Mus musculus: one gene and its partners. The protein of the gene in region 3 interacts with the protein of the main gene of each other region in a biochemical or structural test. Links are inferred from orthologs where the notes say so. Each region holds a gene or a part of one and is shown on either strand. Other genes may lie near its edges.

Region 1 (3,500 bases), on a different chromosome or scaffold from region 3:
GCTTTCAGACAGAGTTTTTTTATGTAGCCAAGGGTGATCTCAAAATGGAGATCTGGCCTCAATCTCCTGAGTGCTGGATTCACCACCGCATCGGTGTGAATCTACTTCCTTTATTTTCATAACAACTCACTACCGGATCTTTTCCTTTATGAGGCAGGGTCTTGCTATGGAGCCCAGTCTGGACTGGAACTTGGTGTTCAGACCTAACCACTCTGTCAGAACTTCTGTCCATTCTCTCAACTCCGTCCTGAGTACCAGGATTATAGGTGTCTCCATCCCTGGACTTTACAGGGCCATTTTACAGACACAACAGTGCAGTCCACCAGCAATCAGTAAGCACTTCTAAGCTACTGTTCTTTAGAAACAGGCTGAAGACACAACAGGCAGCTTTCCCCACAGTTCTAGGCTCCAAACGCGCTGCCAAAACACCGTGGAAAAGCCAGTCTGATTGTTCTACGGCATCAAGTACAAGGTACCAGGGTCTTAAGAATGCCTCCTGCCTCACCAGGAAGGTAGAGCAAGCAGAGGACGATCTCACCCAGGCTTCCCTACACACGCTAAACACCCCACCCCCACCCCCACCCTGGCTGCTTGCCTCTCCCCGCTGCAGCGGATCAGACCTTACCTGCAGCTCAGCTTTGCTCTTCCGGGAACTCCTCCGCACAGGGTAGAAATCTGTGAGTTTTCTATTCTGCTGGGTTTTCCCTTGAGACCTGGTTAAGAGGGGAGGGGAGAAAATAAACATGAGGCCCGCTGCCCTGCTCCGACCCAGGAGGTAACTCCCTATAAACGTGTTCCTCAAATATTTCTGTGTACTGGGACCTAGGTGCATGTCTGCTTATCTACCTGGGCGGGTCCCAGACAGCTGCTCACTCCTGGGGGATGGGGGGGAAGAGATAGGGAGGGAGGCCTAACCTCTGGACTCTGACTCTCTGTCTTACACACACACACACACACACACACACACACACCACACACACACACACGAGGGAAAAACCAGACCGTGTAACTCAGAAGAGAAGAGGCCTAGCAGCAGACTACACAACCACAGTACACACCTGAGCCAGGCCCCAGGAACCAAGTGGTGTTAGGAGAGGGCTTCACTCCAGGCTACTTACTTTTTCCGAGGGGCCTGTTTGCCCTTGAGGGACTTTTTCAGGGCTTGCTTAGCGACTGCTACATTGGTAGAATCACATGATGGGGGTGGAGTTTTTGGAGGTTCTGCTGCTTCGGATTTTTGGTTTGGAAAAGGCGCCAGGGGACCTCTCCTGGTGTCTTTGCTCTTCTGTTCATCTGACTTCACAGCGCTTCGTATAACGTTCCCGGTGTTCCTTTTCTCTGCAGCGGGACAGGTGGAAAATAGATTTATTCACTCCACGCACTGGTCAGCACTCAGATAGGCTAGGGTAGGAGCACTCTGTGAGGGTCAGGAAGGTGCTGGAGCCTACTGTGCCAGTGTCCACAAGGGACAATCAGGCAGAAGTACCTGGAGATAGGGCCTGGCCCTCTGTATGTGGGTGTGGGAGAAAGCCGAAGTGCTAACAAAGCTGGAGGCTTCCAGACACTGGCCTGCACACCCGAGAAAAGACGCTCTGTCCCAAAGCAAGAGCTAGTGAGCACTGGTGGGTGGAGTGAGGGGACAAAGCCCAACCTCTTCCCCACTCACTGCCTGGCATGCTTCACTGCAGAATCTTGGCCAAACAAGCCCCCTTTCTAAAAAGGTTGGCGTCCCGGGCTCCCAGAGATTCTCCAGATGGCACCTGGGCAGAAGGCAGGCATCCTGTCATGAGGCACACAACAAATAGCCTCGCTGATAACAGCAGCAAATTTGGTGCCGCTGGTCAACTGTGCTATTTTTAAAAAACGGATTTAATGATTTACTTTTTAAAGTAAATAACTAATATACTACCCAGAGATAGATGGCACACCAATTTTAGAAGAGTTTCTAGGTTTCCTTACAAAGTTAAACATAGAATTATCATGTGACCCAGCAACTCCACATTCTGACATCTACTCAGGATTAAAAACACATGTCTACACAAAAACTCTGTACATGAAACGTGGTAGCTTATGCACATTAGCCCGAGAGCAAACATTCCCGACAGCCCTCCCGGTGTACAAACAGTTAAAATGCGGTCTGTCCACACTGGGAATGATGATTATGGTTCAGCCATAAAAAGGTACAAAGCATTGACACACACTATGAACAACAGGGACTGACTCTGACAAACACGCTGAGTACACGCTGAGTAAAAGGCCAAACACAAAAGGCTACATAGCCTATGACTTCATTTGCATGAAATGTCCACAACGGGCAAGGCTGCAGACGCAGAGAGGAGTTTCAGGGCTGCCTAGAGCTGTGGGGGTGGAGTGCAAAGTGAGGACCAATGAGTATGTTCTTTGTAGGGAGACAAAAAATGGTCTGGACATAAGAGGTGGCAGTTGTGTGACAGCAGACACACTAAAATATCACCCAAGTGCACACTTTGGAGCTGGGGACAGAGCTTGAGTAAAACCTGGCACGGTAGCACAGGCCTATAATCCCAGCACACTAGGGAGGTGGAAACAGAGAACAAGTTAAAGGCCATTCTCAGATGTATGGGGGAGTTTGAGGCTAGCCTGGGCTACAGGAGAGGTTGTCTTGGGTGGGGATAGGAGGGAAGATAGGAGTTAGCTCAATGGTAGAGTGCCTGCCTAGATGCCCAGTCTCTGGGTTCTATCCCAGATTCTACAAAATAAGCAAATAAACTTCGATTCCTGCTCAGCAAACAAAGCAGGAAAAGCTGGGCAAAGGGGGTGCCATCGAGAACACAAGATGGGTGGCAGGTAAAAGCTCTGCCACCAAGCCTAATTCCCCAAATCTGATTTCTCAGGACCTTCACAGGAGGAAACCGACTCCTCTAAGTTTTCCTCTGAAGCCCACATGTACATAGCAGCACACAAATCCCCCCTCCCACACACACACACACAAGCACACATACACAATAAGTAAATGTAATGAAAACAAAACCTCCAAGTCTGTCCCATCAGCCCAACTCCCCCCCACCCTTCCCTTCTAGGCAGGCTGGCAGGTCTAACCCTATGGATATGATGGGTCTGTTGATAACTCTTGAGATGTCTGTGCCAAGGTACAATTAGGCAAGATGTTGGCCTTTCTCAGACATTCCAACGTACATGTGACCCCAAATCCTAATCACTGCCATTTAACAGCACCAGGGATCAGTAAGCCCCCACCGGCATTGTATGGACAATATTCACTCTGCCCGATTTTGGAAGGGATGCAAGGTGGCTATGGCCAAGCCTGGGCGGCAGGTAAGCAACCTCCTGATAGCTGTAGACACAAGGGATGTAGACAGATGTGGTGATGCAGTGGCAACATCTCAAAGCCCTTCTACACCCCAAACAGCCCAACGGATGAGACGGGACTCCTCTCAACTGACTGATGTGTCACCCAGGACTCACAAGAGCTGCAGCTTGCCAGAGCCTCCTCCTTCCAAGTG
Region 2 (4,066 bases), on a different chromosome or scaffold from region 3:
TGCTGTGTGTGCACCTGCCAGTCCACATTGCCACATGGAGTGTCACAGAACATATCAACTTGCAGGAGTCAGTCCTGTTGGTCTACTTGTAGGTTCTAATGGCAGAGCCCAAGTGGTCAGACTTAACAGCAAGTACCCTGACCCTTATGCCCCATTCTGAGCCCCCAGAGGCAGTCTTCATGGCTGGGGAAGGTTTGGGGATGCTACTCACTTTCAGTTACTATACAGGCACTCCCTATAAACAATCTACAATGAACAAGTCAGTCCCACAACAAAAAATTATTTGGCTCAAAATGTCAACACTGAGCAACACTACCCTAGACTCAGTCCCTCCTGAGTCCCTCACTCAGAAACTTGCATTATGGCCCTTCTTCTAGGTCAGTTAAGGCTCAACTGTCCAAAAATGTCCCAAAAGTCAAGTGAGGGCTGACAAGATGGTTCAGTGAGTAGGGAGGGGGACTTTCCAAGCCTCCTGACTCTAAAGCTCAATCCTCAGGACCCACATGGGGGAAGGGAAGAACTGATTCACACAGACACAGTGAGTGTGACTGGACAAATGGATCAGAAACTAAAAGCACTTGCTGTTCTGATCCCAGATCCAACAGTTCATAACCAACCACCGAAAGTCTAGCACCAAGGGATCCAGTGCCCTCTCTGGCTTCCATGGGCACCTAGCTCATGTGCATAGACATACACAGACACATAACAAGAAATAAATCTTTAAGTAAACAAAACCAATTTTTTTAAGTGAAGGTATCCTACTCTTAAATAGATGAAATGAATAAATTTCGTTGCAGAATCTGTACTCATGTCAAGACACAATAAAGAACCTGGGGTTGGGCTCAATGGGTAGCATGCTGACCTAACATGTAGGAGTGTCTAAGTTCCATCCTAGCCTTGCATAAACTAGGGCATGTTAACACTTGGAGTTAGAGGCTTGCCTGGGCTACATGGGGACCTGGTCTAAAACTAATAACTACAAAAAAGAAACAAATTAAAGACCTCATGAAAGAGATTATCTCCCACTAAAATGAATTTAAAGTCGCAAGAATAAGTAAGCACATTAAAACCCATGTATATTAGACCATAAATAGAGCCTGTCTTTTTGTTTGTTTTGAGACTCTCTACATAGTCTTGATTGTCTTGAACTTGCTATGTAGATCAGGCCGGCCTCAAACTCAGAGATCCACTTGCATCTGCCTCTGAGTGCTGCTGGGATTAAAGGTGTGTGCCACCACACCCAGATGAGAACCTGCCATAGGTAAATGCCTTGGGTGCATAGAAACTCCATCAGTAATTTGGGGTGAATTCCCATACATTTTGCTAATGTTGCATGCAATTCAGACTTAAGCTTTCCTACAACCTCAGCTATCCAGAGTAGAAACAGCCCAGGCACACCAACTTAGAGACTCGGACCCCCAGAACACTCTCCCTTCTTCTCATTTGAATGGAAGGTAACATCACCTCAATTTTCTATTTTAAAAAAAAAAGCCACCCCCCCCCGAAGGACACTTTTTTCTTTAAAAGTTTTATTCCACTTTAATTAATTTATTGGATACAGGCTTGTGGAATTGATTCTCTTCTTCCCAGGATACAATTCAGGTGGTCAGAGGCCAGATCAACCTGAAATTCATCATCCTCCTGCCTCAGCTTCTAGGATGCTGAACTGCAGGTATGAACTGCTACACCAAACTGGTCTTTATTGCCAGAGCAATAGTGTCGGTTTTAAACGTTCCACCTTGGTTAAATAAAAACAATGCTCCATGAGAGTCCAGGAATTGTACGACTATTAATGCCCACATAAAATTCTCAAGCCAGTCAGAACAACAGCTCCAGCCTTCCTGGAATACCAGGCTGTGAAGGGTGTGTGTGTGTGTGTGTGTGTGTGTGTGTGTGTGTGTGTGTGTGTGTATCTTTGATGATCAGAACTGTAAAAGGGGCCAGAGTTATCCCAGAAGTGGATGGAGATTGAGGATGCGGCTCTCCATCCTGAAATTGGCCATCCCCAATTCCCCTCATCTCCGAGCTTGCAGACTAGTGTAATGTACCCAGAAGGGCTGTCTAGTCAGTGGTGCTCAATTGGAGAAATCTTAGTCTATCAGGACCGACCTCGTCTTTTCCAGCCCCTCAATCGTTCAACACACACTGGGGATACAATTTAGCGGGGAATAGGCACCCCACATTTCGGGAAGCCTACCGCATGCTACAAAGACTCCTAACACGTACCCGACTGGTCCATACCACACTCACAAAGGGCCCCTTTTCGGGACCCAGAAAGGGTTCCTGGCTATGCTTTAACCACCCAAACCGACCTTCCTGGACTAGCCCTGCCCCGCAGAGTTGCTGCTACTCTGGTGTCCAGAGCTCAAGTGAGCACGGGCCTCAATTTCCCCGCCCATTGCAAAGGTCCGAACTGCTCTGGAATTCACAAACGCACTTAATAACTTGTACGACTGACTTTTCTTCTCCTTGCCCTCAGTTTCTCCACTTGCTGCTACAAGATCCAATTGATTTCAAGAGGACACAAGCACTCAGGATCCATCAAATCCAACTCGGGGCCTCGGTTTCCCCATTTACTCCAGCTATTTAGGCGACACAAGATGCCTTCGGGAGCTTGCGAAGCTGACTCTTCCCCCTCCCCGAGGCCTCAGTTTCCTAAGAGCCCTCCCTTCTCCTGGTCTCCGCCCCGAGGCCACTTAGGCTTGGATCCGCTCCTTTAGGCAGTTTCACCCACCCGCGGCTGTCCGCGTCGCGGCCTCCGGCTCCTCCAACATCTCCGCGACGGCGGCGGCGGCGGCGGCGGCGGCGGCGGCGGCGGCGGCTCAGGCTTCAGTCGGGCGGCCAGGCTGCACACTCCGCCTCCCACCGGTGTCACTTCTGCTGCCGCCGCGGCCGCCGCGCTCGTATTTGGCGGGAACCGCGGCAACCACCGCGGCCCGCGCGCCGATTGGAGGAGCTTGCGTCACGTGACACCTCAGCCTCCGGAAAAAGAGGTGCACTCAGTACGTCCTCGCGAGAACTTCGGTTTATGTGCTAGAAAATCCCGCGGGAGGCGGATGAAGGCTCCTTTCCGGCGGTTCAGGAGCTGCTGGGAAGATCTGCATTTCTATTGATCCTAAGAAATGTCAATCTAAAATATCAGCGTTTGCACACCCCCCACACCCCTTTTATTGGCTATATGCGTTCCAGGAGGTGGGAAGGGTACGTTTAGATTAGTAGTGACAACTTGAAATTACCCATTGGAAGAGTAATGGGAATTAAGGTATAATAGTGACGGGTTGAAAGTAGCCATTGTAATTAGAGAATTACTTCCTTTAATTTTATTTCTTGCATTAATTTCTCTTTTAACTATAATTTTTTTTCGAGACAGGGTTTCTCTTTGTAGCCCTGGCTGTCCTGGAACTCACTCTGTAGACCAGGCTGGCCTTGAACTCAGAAATCTGCCTACCTCTGTCTCCCAAGTGCTGGGATTAAAGGCGTGTGCCACCATTGCCCGGATATAAACTCTTTCTAAAAATGTTACAGCTGGGCATTTCATTTTTGAAATGATGAACCACTTTTTAATAAATTAACAATTTGCTTTATTTTAAAATTAGGAATGTTTTTCTATTGTAAAATTATAAATCTTTTCAACCATATATTCCTTCTTTTCGTGTAAATTACTTTGAAGAATATTAAATGAAAAAAATTGAGTCTGGTGCTTCATGCTTTTAATCCTAGTACTTGGGATTTACAAGCAGGTGGATCTCTGAGTTCGAGGACAACCTGATCTACATAGCAAGATCCAAGACAGCCAGTGATACGATGTATAAAAAAATGTTTTTCAGCCGGCCTTTAATCCCAGCACTCTGGAGGCAGAGGCAGGTGGATTTCTGAGTTTGAGGCCAGCCTGGTCTGCAGAGTGAGTTCCAGGACAGCCTGGGCTATACAGAGAAACCCTGTCTCAAAAACAACAACAACAACAAAAGAATAATTGCCTCTGTCTTTTGTTTTTGTTTTTAATTTTAAGACAGAATCTCACTATGTAGCCTTGCTGATCTGGAACCCAATCACTAGTTTCTAAATC
Region 3 (4,109 bases):
ACATGTCAGTATTTGAGAACTGAGGAGCTGAAGTTGATATGGAAGTAGAAATAATTCAGCAGATTAAGGTTAAGAACTAGTTCTTGGGTTGTGTGTTTATCTATGTTCGAATTCTTACACTTTCATTTACTTTAAATTCATGCAGAGGCCAAGTAACACCTTATATTTACCTTAAATACTTGCAGTAAGCACTCTGAATTTCACTATACTAAACCCTAAAAATCCTATTTAGTTCAGACTTCTGTGTGTAATTCTGATGCTCAGGCTAGCTAGCAAAACTTAAAAAAGAAAAAAAAAAGTGTAGCCATGAAATATACATTGGATTCCTGAGAAAAAGCCTCGATTCAGGGATACTTAGAAATTAAAGAGGCCTAGTATGTTCTACTTGAATGAGGAGGACTCGGAGAACATCTTCCTTTGCCTTCCCAATTTCTTCCTCATTCTTTTTGAGCTAGATTTTCTGCCAGGTTGACTTTAAGCTGAGAATCTTCCTGCTGTAGCTTTGAGTACTACAGTTGTGGGTTTGAGACATCATGCCCAGCTTTCTCTATGGATGTAACTGTCAAGAGCATTTAATACAACTCTTTCCACATTTTGTGAAGTCTTTCTTATTTCCCTTGGGACTGCAAATACTCTTGAACCTGCAACACATAAAGCTACATACACCCCCAACCATTTTCTTTTGCTCACTTGCCAACCCTCACTTATTTGCCAAGAGTATTTCCAGGAAGCAAAAGGCTGTACACTTAGCTTTCCAAATGCTACCTGTAAAAGCTTATGGAGTCGTCTCTGAGCTCTAAGATAGCTTGGTCTACTCAAGACTCCATCTCAAAATGAATGAATAAATAAAAACAAAAGCCGAGGCTCCATCCCTGCTTCAGACACCTAACTGGACGCCCCCTTACTACTCACCGCCTCCTCTTCTTTATCCACATTACTTGTTTGTGACAACTTAATGTTCCCATTGCCAAGCTCTCCACTTGCAGAAAACTTCACCCCATTCTTTGCACAGGATATCACAACAGCATCTCCAATGTGGCTAAGGTCTCGGCATATACGTGCAAATTCACCCGACGGCATCTTTATTACACAGCTGTACTCCTGTTCCTGTAAACCCACAAGTTAAAGGTCAGTCTAGAAAAGGGGGAAGGCTCAGCTTCATGTTCTCAAGATTTAGCATCTTAACCAGAACTCAGAATGCAAGACTTCTGGTTTCTTTAAAACTCAATCAACTTTAGACTGCTGTGGTTTAGTGAAATGGCAGTGTGCCATTCATCCCCAATACCACCACTCCACTCAGAACACGCATCAGCTGGTATCACAGCAGGGTAACACACAATCAGAAACAAGGTAACTCACTGGGATTCCAAGTTGCTCCACATCTAAGTCCATTAACTTCATTTCATAGTCTGAAACTTTCTCTTGATCTACCAAAAGAAGGAAAATGTTACCAAAGCACACCACACGGTCCTATCTATGATGGAAATTTTACAATATTGTTAATATTTTTTTTTGGTTTTGAGAAACAGAAACAACACGTAACTACCGAGTTTTAAAGGTGTTTAACTTACTTGGTGCTTCGAATACTAGTGCTAAGGTGTCTGCATTATCTTCAGCCCTTAATGTAATGATGTCTTCATTACCAGCACATTTTAGAATTTTGGACATGCTAGGGGGGAAAAAAAAAAAGACAGGCTTTATCAACATGTAATCCACATCTATATTTTAAAAAGCAATTACAAGTTGTACCATTTCACACTCACGGTTGGAGAACTGTTAAAGGGGCTAAGGGTACCCCAAACTCTCTCAGGGGTGAAGCAAATTACCGGGTATATGTGATTCTTAAAACCGACTTAGTAAAATGCACTAAAAGCCAACATTCGAGAAAGCATCTTTTTGAGCGGGGTGTCCTTGGTTTCTAGTGTACTGGAGAATGTGCCCCATCACGTCTGGCCTTTTCGTAAATCTTTCAAAATGTATACAAGTGGCACTAATCCATGTATCTGTACTAAAATAAGTCACACACTGTCCTTGAACACGTATACAGGAGGCACTAACCTAGGTAGCTGTAGCAAAGTTAAAAGCTAAAACTGACAGATTTCCCCTCAAATCCATGATGCGCAGTGAGACTCTGGAAGTCAAGAAAAGGTCTATTGTCACTCTAAGTCGACATTACATTTGCACTAAGACTCGTTTATTAGGCGCTAAGACCAGCCACTCAAAGCTGCAGGCATTTAATGAGCACAGCTCCGGAGCACTCATTTTCCCGCGGACTCCCGCTTTGTGGCTTTGGCGCGGAAACAGAGTGGGCGCCACTGCCAGCGCGGGCTTTTCGGAACCGCGCGCTTTGGTGAGGGCTGCCCCCGACACCATAGACCAATCAGAAAGCGCGGATGGCCAAGCCAGCCAATGAGCGTGCAGAGTCACAGCCCCGCCAAGAGCGGAAGCGGGAAGAGTGGGGCCCCGCTCCCGCCACCCGCTCACCTGGTGAGGTTCACGCCCATGGCTAGGTTGCGGTCGCAGCGGTATGTGTCGAAGCCTTCGGAGCGCAGAGTAAGCTGTACCAAGGAGACGTGAGACGAGTCCATGCTCTGCAGGTTCACGCCGCCCGAGCTGACGTCCCAGCAGGCCTCATTGATGAGGTCTTTGAGAGCCTCCAGCACCTTCTTCAGGATGGAGCCCTGGATCAGGCGTGCCTCAAACATGGTGGCGGAGTTGTGGCGACTAGATGAGAGCTACTCTAAGAGGAACGAGGTCTGGCTGCCAAGGTCCCCCGATTCACGATGCAGAAGCGGCAGCGAAGGCCTACAGCGACAACTACCAACCCTCTGCGCCCGCAACCGTCTAATGCCGCGGCTTCCTAGGCGCGCGCCTTTTCCCTGCGCGAGGTCATGACGCCACAGCGCTGATCCACCCACCTCTCCTCAAGGACCAATCGTACCCGTGGTTTGAGCAAGGCCCGCCCCACCGCGTATGCAAAGGCGGGGCTGCGGGGTAGGAGCCTGGGAGGCGAGGGGCATCACGGGGTTCGCGTAGGCTGTCGTCACCGCCCAAGTTTGTGGGAGTTTAGGCTGCAGTTTCCATCCTTAGGAAGTTTCCGCGCCACGGAAGTGGAAGTCACAGGCAAATCGAGCTGTGCGCGGCGGCCTGCCTTGAAGCTGGAGAGTATTTTAAACACTACGGAGCGTTTTCCCTAACGTAAGAAATACGCTGCAAAATATCGAGTAATAAAGAGGCCACCATATTTTAACACCCCTACCCCCCCCCCCATTTCATATCACTTTTCTGTGTGCGTCGCTCTGAACTTTTCTCTCTAAAGACTAAAAAAATACCTCTTAACGTGAACGCTTCTCCAAAGAAGATACCAAGTCCATATGTATCACGTAATTATTTTCCTTTTATGTCTGGTTCTCTACATTTTTCTAAAGGTAGATATTACTAGTATTTTCATCTTAATTTTAGGCTGAAGATGAACCCGAGCCTGAGCCCCATCCTGAAAATGTTAGCTGTTGCAGGTGGAGCGTCTTTCATATGTCCCTGGGCTGCAGCATTTTGTTCTACTAAAGTTTTTTTGTTTTTTTGTTTTTCCTATTGATTATGAGGATGGGGAAGAACTGACTGCAGGTAGATTAACATCATTTACAAAAGGATATAGAGTTTTTCAATTTCTCATGTTTTTTTCTTTTGGTTTTGGTGGTAGGTAAAATATATTTGATAATGAAAGTGTAATACTTTAATGTGAAACTTGATAGTTTCCATTTGGAATGCCTCTTCTAACTGTATAGAAGTTGGTTGAGTTGTGAAGAAAGCTTTTGGTGTGTGATGTTTTATTTATGTGTGTAAGGGTTTTTTGTTTGTTTGCTTTTCACTAATAAGGTATATACAATTTCAGAAAGTTAAAAGGACCGTTTTAGCTGGTGAGAGTGATTAGTGATTATAATTCCAGCACATGGGAAGGCTGAGGTCGGAGGGCCTAGATTTAAACTCACCTTGGACTATCTACCAAGACTGACCAAAGGGGAAAAAGTTTACATAGGAGCATATTAATTCCATTTCATGTTCATTTATTCTTTCCTTATTCACTGCATTTCCCTTTAGTTTGTCTTGTT
Region 4 (3,583 bases), on a different chromosome or scaffold from region 3:
AAGATAAGTGAATTCTAAGTCACTAGTTTCTCTAAATCATAATGTATCAGAGAGCAAGCGCTAATCTGCTCCTGAAATATGGCAGAGTGTGAGCTGAAGAAGGAAAACAAGAGGATGGAGAGGTAACCAGCACTAAAGGGAAAATCAAACACGGAAGGAAACAGAAGTTCTAGTCACCAGGACAACGGGAGTCCTGGTTTTGATTGACATCTATCAGGCAGAGAAGCATCGTGCAAAGGCAGGTCAGAGGCTGTGCTCACCTTCGCAGGCTCTCCTTCTTCTCTTCACGTGATAAACAACTGTCTAAATGCTTATTGATATGATTTTCTGGAATGCTGACCCCACAAACAGGACAAGACACTGCATTTAAAAGAGAGGGGGGAGACATTATTAGCCATAGAACAGGCAAAAATTACACTGACATCTTTCAGTAATTTAAAGACAGAATCCCAGCTGATATGCTCTTTAAAAGAGCCAGGAGAACAGGCAAACGGGTTACTAGTAACTAGCTGCTTTGCGGGAAGTCCCATGATCAGAACCCTGGGCCTAGAGGCTGCACTTAGGTTTGGGAGTTAGCCAGCTGGAAACAGGGTACTAGGAAACCACAGCGCTGAGTCTCCCCAGGCCGCAGGACATCTCACACAGGACATCTCACACAGGACATCTAACACAGGACAAGCACAGCCTCAGCAACTCTGTAAACAAGTTCCACCTGGGAGTGAAACCAAGGCTTCGCTGGCTCCTTACAATCTGGCTGAACTACTGACCTCCTGGCTCCCGGGCCAGGTCCTCCTTACTAAAGCTGCAGCTTTGTGGAGTTGCAGTGAATGTGGAGGTGCCCACAAAATGCAGTTTCCAAAGAAGGAAGGCTTGTGGCACCAGAGTCCCCAGACTCCCTACTCCTTCTTTTAGTAGCACAGAGAAGTGTATCTATTTTACATGTTATGGTCCATTCTAAGATTTCATTTGGATAAAAAAGAAAAAAATTCTACAAGAGCTGAAAACATGTCCATATGAAATAAAAATATAACAACAAAAACCACAGACGGAGTGATCTCCAGGCTGAGATGTTGATACGCATAATCAAAAACTAAAATAGAAAAAACCTTAAAAATACAAGTACTAATAAGCTAATTTCAATTTTCTAGTAAACACTACTGGCCTTCAACTGTGGGTTGTATGGGTTTGCTAAACAACACACATTCTTAGTAAAAGATAAGGTCCTAAAGACTGGCTGTGAGTTTTCCAGATGACCCTTCATACCATAATCCTGGCTCTGTCACCATTAGGCCACTCTGCACCACTGCAGCATGGAAACACCAGAGCTAGTATATAAACAGAGGAGGAGGGCAGGTTCCAGGCAATCGGTATTTACTGACCAGGTAGCACATCCGGTCAGTTTTCAGCTATTCTGTCAGCCTGAGTATACTGTAGGAAGAGTGAGATAACAAACTGGCTACAGAGACATTCTGGGAGAGCCAGGAAATAAGTCAGGCTCACTGAAGTACATGTCCTATACCAATAAAATAAGCCCTAACCACGGACTGCATCAATGCCTGAGACATGGTGAGGTGAAACCCAGTCCAGTCTTTCTCCCCCTCAAAAGTGCTGCCTATTAATCTCACACCACACAAGTGAGACTTCCTTAAGTATAAAAGTGCACATATAAAAGTGCTGCCTACCTTTAGTATCCAGTTTCATAGTGGATGTAGAGGGAGTCACAGGACCATTAGCATCCGAGAGCCCCAGTACCGGCTTTCCTAGGAGACTTGTCTCTTTAATCTCAGCAGAGGTGCTTAGCTCTTTTTGAGGGCTGAATTTCCTCTCATTTTCTTTTCCCAACAACTCAAATACACAGTCACCAGTTTCTCTAATCAGGAACTTATCCATTAACCTGTTCGCCTGTTTGACAGGGTGTTGGGCGGCGTCAGCATTATGCACTTTAACAACAACCTTCTTTGAGGTGGAAGACACAGGAGATATGGGTGGTGACTCTAAAGCAAACTGCAACAGGTGAGTCCTTGAAACACACAAAACAAACAAATGGGTAAATAAGATGCCAAGTTATGCATAATACACTGAGTCTCCCTAATTAATACTTGGTTCCTCTGAAACACAGAACTTATGTCACAATCACAATCAAACTAAAACGTTTCTTTTAAAATGCAGGAAATCATTATTAAAAGGCAGTGACTAGAACTTAAAGAGTATACTGGGTTCTAGGTGCTGATATGACACTTACTCTACAATGGCTAAGTAAAAGCTGGAGAAAGACATAAAGCAACAGTTAGCACTACGACACAAGCAACCCAAAAGTATGATCCCTGGGAGAAGAGAGACAAATGAAGTGATGCAACCCTGACCCAAGACCTTCACCTGGGAGCACCTTCTCGGATTTGTACGTTGAACTGACATCGAAGCAGAAGTTACCTCCCTGACCAGGGAGAAGAGAGCACAATTCTGGGCAGAGATGATGAGAACGAGAGGGACGGTGTGCTAGGCATGTAGGAGGGAGCCAGGAGAAGGAAACCCTCACCCATCTGCAATCGTCTCCAGGGTATGCAAGGACCAAACGCCACAAGCCTGGCAGGAAACAGACATTGGTAAACAGATGCCAGAGGCAGTGCTAGAAAGATGCTCAGCTTAGCCCAGCCAAAATGGATACCTTCACGGAGACCATGTGGCCTGCCTGAGGTGAGATGTCAGAGGTCGCACCTTAGGAAAGGGGACCGCTCTGTGCACAGAGTGTGTTCACACAAATGTGCACGTGTGCATATGTGTTTCCATCTGTACACCTAAAGCTCGTGTATGCACATGAGTCATAAAGCCTCACTAGAGGTAGGTAACCTGTGGGGACAGAGGTCAGAAAAAGTGAGGAAAACTAACACAGAATCTAGTAATACACTGCACCAACCCTTAACAGAACAAAAGCAAAGAGCCGGTCAGGTAACTGCGTGTCAGAACAAAACGCATTTACTTTCAAAAAGTATAGTTTTTCTTTCCTGCTGCTCTGGGTTTGTCAATGTGCTGCCTCTTTCCTTCCTTCCTTTCCTTTCTTTTTGTATTTTTTTTTCCCCCTGTACAGGGTCTCATATAAAGCCCTGGCAGGCCTAGAACTCACCAATCTGATAAAATGCTACTTAAAAACAAAGCAACAACAATAAAAGCTCACAACTCTTATCAACCATCAGTGATAACAAATGAGCTACCTCCCCCCAAGACTGAACAAAGCACAGATGCCAACCACCACCATCTCTCTCCTAAAACTGCAGAAGACGTCCTGAGTCAATGCAAAGGTAAGACCAAGAACAAGAGCCAGGAACAAAGACTACAAAGATTATAAAAAGAGGAAAAGATTTCATTTTCATAGGAAAAGTTAGGTACACGGTAAGTAAGAAGGCTGGTTCACTATATTACCTTCCCTACTTTCATGTATATTTAAATTTTTTCACAACTTAAAAAAAAAAGAAAAAGATAAAAAAATAAAGGAAAACTAAGCTAAGGATGGCAGCACATGCTGATAACCTCAGCACTCAGCAGGATGAAGCAGAAGATTCTAATTCCAGTGTAATTTCAATCACAT
Region 5 (4,280 bases), on a different chromosome or scaffold from region 3:
TAAATACATAAAAACAGAGAAGTCATACTCCATAAGAAAAACAAAGCCCTGACCATGCCAAGGCCTGGGGAGGACTGGTGGGAATGGCCGACATCCTAAGTTGTTTGTCTCTATCTAGGAGGCGTGAAATAGGCCAGGTACAGAATCCAGGACTTAGACCCAGCCTCCAACAACCACAAGGTTCACCATTTCCTTCCAGGTAAGGCAGGCTGAGAGCCCTGCCTGCAGGAAGAAGACGGCCCTGCTCAGAGAATGCGCAAATCCTCAGTTCCTTCAGGGTCATCCCTCTGCCTCCCAGTTAGGCAGCCTCACCCAGGGCTCGGAAATATCAGCTTATCGGATGCTCAGAGAACAGTCCTCTCATACAAATGTAAAAGAAGGTATTTAAATTCAAGCTCTACAACGACGGCCCTCCCAAGCTCTGGAGTAAAAGCCCAACTTTAAACTCAGATCTAAACTCCCAAGCTCCTCTAAGGAAGGAAGAGCACCGCTGTCACTCACAATAATAGTTTCTCTCACAGTCAAAAAAAAAAAAAAACAAAAAACCAGGAGGAGGGCCTTGAAGGTTAAGTTATTTAGGTCAGCCTCAGCCTACCCAGAATCCTCTTTTTCCTCTCTTCCTAGGCAGTATTGGGGGTCATCTTTCACAGAGCGGCTATTCTCTGGCTAGTACAGATGCCTAATAAAATCTGTAAAGTATGGAAGGGTCACTTCAAAGGCCAGGTGTAGTAGCACACGACTTTAATCTCATCACTGGGGAGGAAGAGGCGGGTGGATCTCTTTGAGTTCAAGGCCAGCAGGATGACAGTAAGCCAGGTCCCAAAAACCAAACAAAACCATTTGAAAGGCTGGGTGTGGCAGTAGAGGCAGGCCAGTAATTCTCAGCACTCCAGGATGGAGGCCAGAGCATCACAGACATCAGCCCTGAAATCTGGTCTCAAAACCAATCAACCTAATTCTGGGCATACCATTACCTTATACTTTACTAATATCCCTCTACTAGCTGTTACAATTGAGGAATCCCCAATCATAAAATAATATGAAAATATAAGCCGAAGACTATTTTGCTTTCCTGCTATATTCAAGACCGAGGGAATAATGGGTTTAATCTACAAACTGGCAAGGATGTAAATTTGCTTTCTCTTAAGCCCAGAGAGCTCTATTTATCTTCTCACAGGGAGGAGGGAACTGTGGGGTAAAGTTCAAAGACCTCAGTGGGAAATGGGGCTTTCAACTGTCCTTCAAATTCTAGCTATCTCCATCTTCCTGTCCCACTTCTGTGAATAAAAACTCTTAATCAAGCTCCCACACTTGACTGGGACATCTTGGGCTTCTCCTCCCCAGGGCATTCTGCCTAGCACTCAGTTCCATCAGATACAAGGCTTATCAATCCTTCCCATACCCCTTAACCTAGCAGGAGGAGCCCAGGACGGGTTCCCCATCCCGTCATAAATGCAAGCAACAAAGACGTCCCTAGCAGTTCCCGACATTTTTGTCACCAATGATAATTATAGACACTAACACCGTGCCTAGCTGCTTCTTAATAAATATGTATAGAATGTATGAGAACTGTGTCAAGCAAGAATGCTGAGCTAGGCAGTCTCTCCGAGGGCACCAAGATGACAGCTTCAGTTCTTCCCATAAGGAGAAATAATAGAAGCAGTGTGGTATCTTGGTACCCACTGGGTGAATGTCTTTTCCCCCTTCCCTCCCCCCCTTAAGAACTGAAGCCCCATTGAGGGCTAGCCTGCCTCTTCTAAAACACATTACTGCAGCTGGACAGCAAGGGAAATCAATTGCCTCGACCATTAGCAGCGTGAGCTTGGGTAACTGAGTGTTTGGGGGAGGTGGGAACAGGGCAGGTGAGAACCACACTAGCAAAGACGGGAAGGAATCTGCAAAACCAGAAGCCTAGGAGGCAGGAGCCACTGGAACGCCAGGACCCGTCATCCCACCACCTCCTGACCATCTCGGAAGCGTCAGTGAAGAGACCAGATAGCTGCAGAAAGCGCCGAGACCTCGGGAAGTTTGGAGAAAATGTTATTTCCAAGTAGAAATCAGGCCCAAAGCGAATGCACTGTAAAGAAATGGCACTGCTTTGCATAACTAAAATAGAAATACCGAGAGTGAGCGGATGTTGAAAGGATCATCAAAAATAGGCTTAAGGGGAAAAAAAAATCTTCTGTATTCATGGAGGACAATAATCTTCCGGGACAAGATAGGCCCAAATCAGAGCAGCTTTAAAGACCGCGCGCACACCCTCCACCCCGACGCCGAGAAGGCAGTGAAATAAACAAAAACTCTGCGACCATCCAGACCCAGCGAAGAGGCAGGCCCCTTGTCTTTACAAAGCCAGAGGCACTTACGCCAGATGCTCTTACTTCCCGGGCTTTTCTTGCAGGGTAAGCGCAATGTCCCGGAAGGGGTCGGCCCAATGGGCCTCAAGGACCTCCGCGGCAGCGCCGCGGGTCTTTCCCGCCCTTCTCTCCCGGTCCGGCTGAGCCGCAGGGCGGAGTGAGGCGGCCCCGAGCCCACACAGCCGCCCAGGCCGCGTCGCCCTGCGCCTCCGGCCCGGCCCCGTCGCACCTGCACCATGATGGCCATGCGGAGGGAGTCCTTGGGAATACTCTCGCTGCATTTCTTGCAAGAGGCGCGCCCGCTCTTCGCGTACTCCACTCGATAAAGCCTCTCCGAGGCCTCCGCCATCCTCCTTCTCGTGCTGCAGCGGCAGCCCGACGCCGCCGCTGGTGCGCTCCGCTAACGTGTCGGTTTCCCCCGCAAGCGTGCAGAGCCGCCTCCGCTCAGGATAGATTACTGATGCCTAGCGGCGGGACCGCCCCCCCAAGCTCGCGCGCGGAGGGCGGGGCCTCAGCTCATAGGGCGGGGCTTCAGCACGTGTCCTTGGGAGGTTGGGTCCCAGCGCGACTGCGCCTGTGCACGCTGGTCTCTGCCTCTGGGAAGGGGCCAGGGCGGGGACCCGGGGAATCTGACAGGCGCCACCCCTTTTGTCGGTTTGTCCCAGAAAGGCTTTTTGTTCGCCCAAATAATTCCACCTCACCCACTTGCATTTTTTTCTAGGTATGTCTAGAGCGAACCCTGCTGACCCTAAGTGTAGTATTCTGCTTTGCAGCCTCCACATTGCTGACACAGAAAACCAACTAAAGCCTGATTTTTCATTCTTAGTAAACTTAAATGCATAACTATAAATTCCAAGAGAATGAGCAGAACCCGTGACAGTTGGTAGTAGTTACAACAGATGTCGTGTGTTCTCATCCCCCATCTCCGCGCTAACACAGGACAGGGTGTCTCAGTGTTGCCCTGGCTGCCCTGAAACTTGTTCTGTAGATCAGGCTGGCCTTGAACTCACAGGGATCCATGTGCCTTTGCCTCCTGAGTGCTTGGGATTAAGGGCGTGTGACACCATCTCCGGCAACAGATATTTTCCTGGGGAGATCCCAAAATATTTTAGGTTATCGACAATTAAAGTTATAGGTATTGTTAAACTTGCTACTGTTAGATCTTGTTATTTAATGTAGCACTACAATCTTTAACATTATTGGTCTTTTTTTTTTTTTAATAATTATATGAGCGTGATGCAGGGTCTCACTATAAAGCCCTGGCTGGCCATGAAGATGAAGTCGGCTTCAAACTCACAGAGATCCACTTGCCTGTGTCCTAAAGTGTGGGTAAACTGCATGTCTGGCAGCAAACTGGCTGGTGAGCTGTGGCCTACTTGTCTATGAATCATTCCTGATTGAGCAGGTATGAACTGGCTCTAGGTATCTGCTTTGTGCTTCCTCTGTTGCTGCTCTTTTTCTAACCCTGCCCTCCCTTGTTGAGACCCTCTCGTGGCAGAGAGAGACAGGACACATGGCTGTTCCCTAACCTAGTCCAGGGAGTGGGGTCCTTCCACTTTGCCTTGTAACTGATCCCGTGGGTAACCACCCCAGCAAATTCTCCTTTGCTGCAGAGGGTCTAAACCAGGCAGGCTAGCCTATCTCAGACTTAAAAAACAGAAAATCTCCCAGACCAAATTACAATGTGTGAATTGCAGGCATGTTTTGCCTGTATAAATATTTATATATCATGTGTGTTTGGTGTTTGCTGAGTCCAGAAGACGTTTTCATATCTCCTGACTGGAGGAAGTTACAGATGGTTGTGAGCTGCCATGCAGGAACTGGGACTCGAACCCAAGTCCTCTGAAAGAGTAACCAGTACTTTTAACCTCTGAGCCATCTCTCCATACTCTCCCCCTTGCAATAAACAAACAAACAAACAAA
Region 6 (3,583 bases), on a different chromosome or scaffold from region 3:
GTGTGGCCAACCAGGTGCAGTCCCTCACCTGGCGCAGCAGCTGAGACACGACCTTGACCTGCTGGCCCCGGGTGAGCAGGTACCCAAGGGGTACACCCGTGACACGCGCCATCTCCACATTATTCACCAGCACCATAAGGCGCTCTAGTAGTCGGAGTGGCAGAAAGGCGTCCTTCAGGCAGTACACGGCCAGGCGGCGGCGCGTCTGTTCGTTCCCATTCTGGGGATGGGCATGTGGGGTCAGGGGCTCAGTCAGTCAGGGGCTCAGCCAGGAGGGAGGCGGGGAGGGACTTGGTGGAGTGGCGGCACCTGCAGGTCGGTGATGATGCTGTGCTGAACGTCCTCCTTCTGCTCGCCCAGGAAGTGGAAACTCACAGCGTTGAGCGTGTAGGAGCGGAGCTTGTGTTCCCGAAGCAGCACCTGCGCAGGTTGGGGTGGGGCGGGGCCTCAGAGGTGTGGGGAAGGGTATCTCCACGCAACCTCAAGAGTCGTGGGATGGGGTCTAGAGGGTCTGTGGTACTTAGGTGGGTGGGTCAGGGTGCCGCCTCAGGTGGGTGGAGCTTCTGTTTAAGGCAGCGTGTTGGGGGCTGGGGAGGGCGAGTGGGGTTCCTACATACCTGCAGCATATCCATCTGAACGCGACCCACCATGCTGATCACCTTACTGTCCCGCCGGCCGACCTGCCTTGATTGGAAGGAGGAGTCACGGATGTTGGAGCGGAGACCAGTCACGCGGCCCAGGAAAGGGAAGCGGTCCACCTGAGGAGCATGGGGAGAGCCTTGCTGTGGTGCAGACCTGTCAGCTCAACTCTGAATCTAGCCTTAGGCCCTCAGAACAGGGACAGAGACCAGCCATGGCACTCCTGGGTCTGGAGAAGATGAGCTGCAGGCGGAGACTGCTTGGGTGGGACGAGGTATTGATCAGGGACAGAGTTGAGAGCTATAGCCCCGGGGAGACTGAGAGACTGGGGGCCTGATGGGCTATAGGTAGAGACATGGACTATTGGGGGAGGGCAGAGAAGACAACAGGGGCGGCGCTGGGGTACAGTCTGGCAGAGAGAGGGAGTCTTAGAGGAGAGGGGCTGAGGGTGAGGTGCCCAGGACACAATGGTAGGGTCTCCCTGCAGCCAGGCAGTGAAGTCGGCTCTGCCTACTCATCACCAAATGGGCTACAGCTGCAGAAAGCAGGAAAGTGATACAGTGTATCCTGTTCGGGCAGATTCCCCTCTGTGCATCGCCCAGGACCCCTCTTGTAACAGAGCTTGCCCTAGAAAAAGGACGCAGGGAGACTTGACTGAGGCACAGAAGAAAGGCCCAAGCAGATGCAGCCCAGGAAGGCCATTAGAACCAGGCCCAGGAGGGGAGGGCCTGCCTGCCCTCAGGCTCACTAACACCCAGAGGGTCACCTCTGCAGCCTCCTGCACCGGGTAAGTGTGCAGCTGGCTACAGTGGAAGTGTGAAAAGGCTCACTCTTCCCTTTCCATAGCACCCAGCCTTTGCCGCGCTCCAAAGCATGTACCCCTTTCCTCTTCCATGCCCCCGTTTCCCCTTCCCCCTTGCCAGTGAATTCTAAAGGAGGCCTGGCTATGGAGGCAGAGACAGTGACGCAGTGACGGTGATGGTGTGGAGGGCCGGACTCTCAAGGCGCCCGCCTCCTGTCCACAGCGACGAATTTCCGGCTCCAGCTAAAGTGAGGTAACGCACACCTGGACTCCAGAGCAGCCGGCTGGCCCGGGGCAAGGATGGCCTCGAGGGATGGGAAAAGATCCAGCTTCCCTCACCTTTAGGGCCTGTGCCCGAGAGATGAGGTATGGGAGGTCAAAGTTCTGAATGTTGTAGCCGGTGATCACGTCAGGGTCCATGGCAAGGATGAAGTCGGCCCAGGCCTGTGGAGGGGACGGACACAAAGGCCAACCAGGCTGTCTTTACCTCAGCTACCTTCTCTTCAGAATATCCAAGACAACCTCCGCACTTGCAAAAACGCCGTGGAACTCAGGAAAACACACAGCCCAACCCCGAGGACACGGTGTCGTCCTAGAGAAGGGTCACTGGCATGGCTGGGGACACAGGGCAGGTGGCACCTGAGGAGGGAGGACCCACCTGGAGCAGGTCTTCTTCCCGCTCATAGCTCTGCACTTTGGCACCCAGGATGGGGGCACAGGGCCGCAGCGTGAGTGCCAGACGCAAGAATGGCTCCGGCTCCCCCCAGCGCAGCCCCAGAGAACAGATCTGGATCACGGGGTCACGCTCAGGCTCAGGGAAGATGCCTGCAGAGGGGAAGACACAGGGACCTCATTCCTGCTCGTCCCCTGTCCCGGTCCATCCACGGTCCCCACACCTGCTCATCCACAGCCTCTCAGCTCCAGCCCCTGTTCCAGCCACATGGGTGGGACAGCCCCAGGCCCTGGTGCCTTTGTGCTCAGGGCTCTCTCTGTAGGGAGCACTCCTTCCACCCACTCACCCCTCCACAGGGGCCTGGCACATCACCAATGCCCAGACAGAGAGAAGGAGCCCAGGCTCCCGGGACAAACCTTTTCGGCCAGCACACTCGATGTCGAAGCTAAGCACACGCAGGGGTGCAATGCGCTGCCACTGCCCCTCCGGTGGGTGACTGATCACATCTGACCACAGCACGTCCACCTCCAGCTGACACAGGGTGGCCTGGGGAAAGGTAGCGGGTTGCACAAGGTAGGAGCGACATCGGCACCAGGTCCTGGCTCCCCACCCCGCCCCGGGGTGCTCTTACCTTCTTCTCCGCCCTCCGAACGTACTTTCCAGCTGGCAGCTCCAACCAGTTGCATCCCACAATGTCAGCATCCACCATGAACCTGGAAGAGTGGCGTGTCAGTTGGCAAGGGCCGCCTGAGGGGACTGAGGCGGGAGTAGGGCAAAGGGGAGACAGGACAGCACCGGATCTCAAAGTCCACGTTGGCTTCGTAGGGTGCGAAGCTCGGGGTGCCCAGGCCTGGCACTCGGACACCCTGTTCCAGAAGGCGGCGGGCTGGTGCCATAAGGCGGGGTAGTGCCAGGGTGATGCGGAGAAATGGAGAAGGGCCATGACCGTGGTACCCAAACATGCCTGCGGAGAAAGGAGGTTGGCACACACCTACCAGGGCACCCTACCCCCACCCCCCACCCCCCCAGGCCACACTCACTCTCACGGGAGCATAGCTCTATTGCCAGCACTGCCGGCCCTGAGAGCTCCTTCCCACCGCGCTGGTCCCGGCTGATGGCTGCGTTCAGCTCCTGCTGCAGCTCACTCAGGTGCTCGGCCCCAAAACCTGGTGTAGGAGGCCAGTCAGAAGAGCAAAGGAAATTCTGGAGTCCAGGAACAAGGCCCTCAGGTCAGGGAACACTCACCAGGAGGCGCGGGGGTGTAGAAGTAGGGGGCAAAGCCCTGTATGTGGCAGCAGACGGAGAAGCCTTCATCGGTGACCCCAAAGGCCCTCAGTATGGGCACTGAGTTCCGGGATGGCAGGGGCCCTTCTGGCAGGGGTGGTGCTGAGCCTAGGGGAGGGGTCCGAGAACACCCCTCAGGACCGGAGGCCACACTGAAGGATGTCACTGATGCCTCGGGGCCTCGC
Region 7 (4,310 bases), on a different chromosome or scaffold from region 3:
AGAAACAACCCCCTTCCCCCACGTACCTGGTAGGAGCTGACAGGCTTGTGGAAGCTCTTGAGAGCATTGATGGCCTTTGCATAGCCCAGGGCCCTCCACTTGTCTCCCTGGACACTGTAGGCTTTAGCCAGCACTTCCAGCTTCTCTGTGATGTGCAGATTGTAGTTAGTTGCCTTCTGGCTCGAGGGCTGTGCACAGACCCATTTATCCAGAGCTTCTGGTGCTGGGTCAGGCCCACCATCTTCCTCAGGGGGAGTGGGGTAGTGCCCAGTGATCAAGGCTTGCAGATCTGCTGAGCTAACCTGGGGCCCTTCTCCATCGCTGGTTTCATCCTCTGAGCTGAGCTGCAAATAGAAGAAGAGAGCGCTGTCTGGTGGGGAGGCGTCTCCTGCTTTGACTCAAGGAAAAGACCCCAGCCTGGGGCAGACATAACTAGTTGAATGCAGAACTGAAAAATGTTGGGAAGAGATGGACAGGTGCATAATTGAGAGAGACCTAGAATTTTCTGTCTAACCTCCAGGTCCTTCCATTTCTGTGATCAGCACCCTGGGCTGGGAGGCTCCTCACCTGGGCTTGGGTTCTTGATGGCTTTTCTGCCGTTGGGGGAGGAGATACAGCTCTGGTGTGAGGAGGGGAAAGAGAAAGGGTGGTCCTGGGTAAATCCCGCTGGGTGCCAGGAGCAGAAGCATCTTGGCCTGACTTGCTGGGCTGTGGTTCATCCAAGGACCTAGAGGGCAGGGGAGGTCACAGAGAGTTAGGGTATCAAATTCTTACCTGTCTCTGTCCCCCACCCCCACCCCAATCTTTCTCTATACAGAAACCTTGGTTTCCAAATATGTCCAATTTAAAAAGTACGAGTGTTTTTTTTTTCAATAACTCAAGATGGAAACTCAAACATCATCAACAAACACCTGAGAAAGGCTAAGAGCTGCCAACCTCTTGGGCATGGGAAGGCTGAATCCTTCCGTGTCTGTCAGCCTTCCCTCCTGCAGGCACAAGCTCAGCCAGGTGGACTTCACCAGCTGGGCACCAGGGGGTAGCTGGGGCAACCTGAGGAGCCGGAGAGCCCGCTCATAGTCCATGTCTTCATCCACCACAATGTGAGTGACTCCTGGGGCCTGGGCAGAGCACACCTGGCCGCCATGGTGGATAATCTGCTTCTCAAAGAGTTCAGCCCGGGCACGTCCAATGCCAGCGGGCATAATGTGGGCTCTCAGGGAGCTCAGCCATCCTGTGGAGAGGATATTCAAGTGGTATCACCATAGCTATTATTATTATTATTAATTTTATTGCACTATTATTTGAGATAGGGTCTCATGTAGCCCAGGCTGGCCTCAAACTGACTATGTAGCAGAGGATAACCTTGAGTTTCTGATTCTCCTGCCTTGACCTCTAAGAGCTGGGATTACAGTTGTAGGTCAGAGCTATAATGAACTGTTCGAAGCCACCTCCCTTCCTTTTCCTGCCATCCAGAGAACAAAATACCTTCAAAGAATTCTACCGCAAACGTACAACAAACTTCCTTTTTTTGGGGGGGGGTGGTTAGTTTCAAGACAGGGTTTCTCTGTGTAGCCCTGGCTGTTCTGGAACTCACTCTGTAGACCAGGCTGGCCTCGAACTCAGAAATCTGCCTGCCTCTGCTTCCCAAGTGCTGGGATTAAAGGCTAAAGGCTTGCTTGCTAGCGATACCCCCCAGGGGTTTTTTGTTTTTGTTTTTGCTTTTGTTTTGTTTTGTTTTTTTCAGCAAACTTCCTTTTTTGTTGTTTTGTTTTGCTTTTCGAGTTTGAGGCCAACCTGATCTTGGCCACAGGTTAGGTCACTTCTGTTAATCTGACTCTAGCTGAAAACAAGAAGGCTGAACGTTCCAGTGTGTGAGGGTGGACCGGCTCACCTCTAGCTTCTCCCACCTCCCTTTTGGGAATCTTTGCAAGTGCTTTTGAAGATAGATCTGCATGACTTTTCTTCCGCTTGGGAAAGGCCTTCACGATGCCCTGAGGGTCCATTGAAGGGCGCTGGATCCTGGCCTTTCTGTTAAAGGATTGAGAGCCAGCCCTTAATAATTTGGCATAGAGGTGGGGTTTAGGGGTAACAGGTCCCTTTCTCAGAGGTCTCGGAAACCCCAGTTAAACTTAAGTGATTTAATCCGAGTGCCACACACACATACCAGCCTTTCAACCCTAGTCGTACTGAGGGAAGCCAGGGAAAGGTTGGGATTCTTGTGGGTGTAGGGGAGGTGTGGATCGAAAGGAAACAACATGGGGTGGGGGTGGGGGGAGGAATATAGCGCAGAGTCAGCCTCTGCGTCCCCTTCCAAGAGACTTTTCCAAAATGATGACGGGTTTGGGAACCGGACTACATCTTTAGGAGAGTCTTCATCTCCCCAACGAATTGGAGTCTAAGGGACATGTCACATAAACCTCGCATCATCTTTCTCTAGCCTCAATGTGCATTCGCAGAAGAAAACCTGGGGAGTGAGGCTTCAGGGAAAGTTGTGGGCACGCTGCGCACCTGTCCCTGTCGCAGCAGCCCCATCGCGCGGGTCTGAGCCCCGCAGCTGCAGGGAGGTGGAGTGCAGCCGCAGCAGATGTAGGGAGCCCTCACAGCTGGAGGTGGGCAAGACCGAAGCAGACGTGCCACATCCACTGTGAGCAGCTGGTGTGAACCAGGGACTCCCAGCTGGGGCCAGAAGAGAGTTGGTGCTGGATCCCTAAAAGTTCTGGGAGCATCCCCACCCCACCCGGCCCCAGGACCGGTCCAAAGTAGGTTAGAATCTCCCGGCAAAGAGAAATAAACTCACCATGGGAGCCAATGAAAACGGATTGGGGGAGGAAGGGGTAGAGGGGAAAAAAAAAAAAAAAAATCAGTTCCCAGAATACTTCCCGGGTCATCCGGAAGTGATCATCGGTCGGGTAGTTGCCATGGCAGTGGCCCGGCGCGTTCCTGGGCGGAGGGAAGATGGCGGTGACTAGCTGGTTGGAGGTTTTGCGGTCGGCCGAGAAGACGGCACTGCTGCAGGATGGTAACTCGAGACCCCTCGTCCTTCCCCCCAGGGCGGGCTCTATGCGCCCGCTCCCCCAGGGAGGGCCTCAGCCTGGGTGGGCAGAGCTGGACCTGTCGCAGCAGCCTACAGCCATGCCAGCTTCCTGCTTTTGCAGAGGAAACCGGCCCAGGGAGATGACCCGAGTGGAACCCAAGTCTTTGGTCACCCACCTCAAGAGTTCCTTATATCATCTCTCCCCGCTCAGAGTTTTGTTGGTATTTCCCAATAATTCATTTTACATTCATCATCGTCCCTCAGGGCTGTACCAAGAGGCTAATTCTGCACCCCATTTGACTGACGAGGAAACTGAAACCCAGGAAGGTTTTAGACCAAACCCAGGTTTTGCAGATAATCAGGTATAATTCGTCATCTGGGATCCATGCAGCTCAATTTGGGGGTCCTATTGATGACAGCAGCCCCAATGGCATAGAAAGGAGACACCAGGGTTTTAGATCAACTCTAACATCGATTCACCTCTTCAGTTGTTAGGACCCCATTTTCTTCAATTATAAAATGAAGTGGGTGGGCTACCAGTGTTGTTTCTAAGGTCCTTGTTTTCTTTTTCTTTTCTTTCTTTTTTTTATTTTAAAGATTTATTTATTTTTTTATTATATGTAAGTACACTGTAGCTGTCTTCAGACACACCAGAAGAGGGAGTCAGATCTCGTTACGGATGGTTGTGAGCCACCATGTGGTTGCCGGGATTTGAACTCAGGACCTTCAGAAGAGCAGTCGGGTGCTCTTACCTGTTGAGCCATCTCACCAGCCCAGGTCCTTGTTTTCTAACTATGTTTTGTTTATGATGTGGATTTTAAATTGCCCCCTGATCTTTAGGGGAGATAGAGCAAGGGCTAAGGTCTAAATGACTAAGAACAGGAGCTTGAGATGTCAGCTTTTCCTCATCCTGCAAGTGGCCAGTTTAAGTGCCCTGTGCCCCTGAGGTCTTTCACAGACCCACCCACCTGGCAGCCAGGGTGCCTTAGGTCTGAATTCCTGAGGCTTTAAAGCTAACAGCTAGCTTTAAAACATCCACAGGCAGGTGCCTGAAGTTTACAGAAATTAAAATCAGGTTTCATTTGCTCCTACCCTACAGCATTTAGGGAACCCATTGCCATGTGCCAAATTCTGTGCTAGAGCAGATAGAAAAAACAGACAATAGCAAAGTTAAAACAAACAAGAAGACGACAACCATGGCTTATGCTTTCCTGGGATCATAAAATTATCAAGAAAAAAATATGTAAGGAAATAGCAGCTTGTATTAAATAGAGGT

The links.
Region 1: the proteins of Pcna (region 3) and Kmt5a form a complex in vitro, tested with the Homo sapiens proteins (4 studies listed by BioGRID, with this or other methods). The link is inferred for Mus musculus from reciprocal best matches to the Homo sapiens genes PCNA and KMT5A.
Region 2: the proteins of Pcna (region 3) and Chaf1a form a complex in vitro, tested with the Homo sapiens proteins (4 studies listed by BioGRID and IntAct). The link is inferred for Mus musculus from reciprocal best matches to the Homo sapiens genes PCNA and CHAF1A.
Region 4: of the proteins of Pcna (region 3) and Rad18, one has a biochemical effect on the other in vitro, tested with the Homo sapiens proteins (21 studies listed by BioGRID, with this or other methods). The link is inferred for Mus musculus from reciprocal best matches to the Homo sapiens genes PCNA and RAD18.
Region 5: the proteins of Pcna (region 3) and Parp1 form a complex in vitro, tested with the Homo sapiens proteins (3 studies listed by BioGRID). The link is inferred for Mus musculus from reciprocal best matches to the Homo sapiens genes PCNA and PARP1.
Region 6: the proteins of Pcna (region 3) and Pold1 form a complex in vitro, tested with the Homo sapiens proteins (4 studies listed by BioGRID, with this or other methods). The link is inferred for Mus musculus from reciprocal best matches to the Homo sapiens genes PCNA and POLD1.
Region 7: the proteins of Pcna (region 3) and Poll form a complex in vitro, tested with the Homo sapiens proteins (3 studies listed by BioGRID). The link is inferred for Mus musculus from reciprocal best matches to the Homo sapiens genes PCNA and POLL.

Annotation. Positions count from the first base shown.
Region 1 is NC_000071.6:124,448,499-124,451,998, reverse strand, and holds part of Kmt5a (N-lysine methyltransferase KMT5A), read right to left. Parts: intron 1,339-3,500; coding exon 1,119-1,338; intron 714-1,118; coding exon 626-713; intron 1-625. UniProt on the Homo sapiens protein: Protein-lysine N-methyltransferase that monomethylates both histones and non-histone proteins. Specifically monomethylates 'Lys-20' of histone H4 (H4K20me1).
Region 2 is NC_000083.6:56,039,220-56,043,285, reverse strand, and holds the start of Chaf1a (chromatin assembly factor 1 subunit A), read right to left. Parts: upstream 2,871-4,066; 5' UTR 2,775-2,870; coding exon 2,735-2,774; intron 1-2,734. UniProt on the Homo sapiens protein: Acts as a component of the histone chaperone complex chromatin assembly factor 1 (CAF-1), which assembles histone octamers onto DNA during replication and repair.
Region 3 is NC_000068.7:132,250,332-132,254,440, forward strand, and holds the start of Pcna (proliferating cell nuclear antigen), read right to left. Parts: upstream 2,850-4,109; 5' UTR 2,706-2,849; coding exon 2,485-2,705; intron 1,670-2,484; coding exon 1,572-1,669; intron 1,428-1,571; coding exon 1,360-1,427; intron 1,108-1,359; coding exon 913-1,107; intron 1-912. UniProt on the Homo sapiens protein: Auxiliary protein of DNA polymerase delta and epsilon, is involved in the control of eukaryotic DNA replication by increasing the polymerase's processibility during elongation of the leading strand.
Region 4 is NC_000072.6:112,679,657-112,683,239, forward strand, and holds part of Rad18 (E3 ubiquitin-protein ligase RAD18), read right to left. Parts: intron 2,584-3,583; exon of another isoform or gene 2,377-2,583; intron 2,021-2,376; coding exon 1,683-2,020; intron 361-1,682; coding exon 261-360; intron 1-260. UniProt on the Homo sapiens protein: E3 ubiquitin-protein ligase involved in postreplication repair of UV-damaged DNA. Postreplication repair functions in gap-filling of a daughter strand on replication of damaged DNA.
Region 5 is NC_000067.6:180,567,460-180,571,739, reverse strand, and holds the start of Parp1 (poly [ADP-ribose] polymerase 1), read right to left. Parts: upstream 2,850-4,280; 5' UTR 2,707-2,849; coding exon 2,587-2,706; intron 1-2,586. UniProt on the Homo sapiens protein: Poly-ADP-ribosyltransferase that mediates poly-ADP-ribosylation of proteins and plays a key role in DNA repair.
Region 6 is NC_000073.6:44,538,745-44,542,327, forward strand, and holds part of Pold1 (DNA polymerase delta catalytic subunit), read right to left. Parts: intron 3,507-3,583; coding exon 3,360-3,506; intron 3,281-3,359; coding exon 3,155-3,280; intron 3,079-3,154; coding exon 2,910-3,078; intron 2,828-2,909; coding exon 2,746-2,827; intron 2,661-2,745; coding exon 2,531-2,660; intron 2,267-2,530; coding exon 2,100-2,266; intron 1,886-2,099; coding exon 1,781-1,885; intron 759-1,780; coding exon 618-758; intron 421-617; coding exon 310-420; intron 221-309; coding exon 29-220; intron 1-28. UniProt on the Homo sapiens protein: As the catalytic component of the trimeric (Pol-delta3 complex) and tetrameric DNA polymerase delta complexes (Pol-delta4 complex), plays a crucial role in high fidelity genome replication, including in lagging strand synthesis, and repair.
Region 7 is NC_000085.6:45,557,689-45,561,998, forward strand, and holds the start of Poll (DNA polymerase lambda), read right to left. Parts: upstream 2,877-4,310; 5' UTR 2,798-2,876; intron 2,677-2,797; exon of another isoform or gene 2,509-2,676; intron 2,029-2,508; 5' UTR 2,004-2,028; coding exon 1,892-2,003; intron 1,232-1,891; coding exon 937-1,231; intron 728-936; coding exon 568-727; intron 345-567; coding exon 27-344; intron 1-26. Other genes in the region: protein DPCD, read left to right, coding at 2,956-3,019.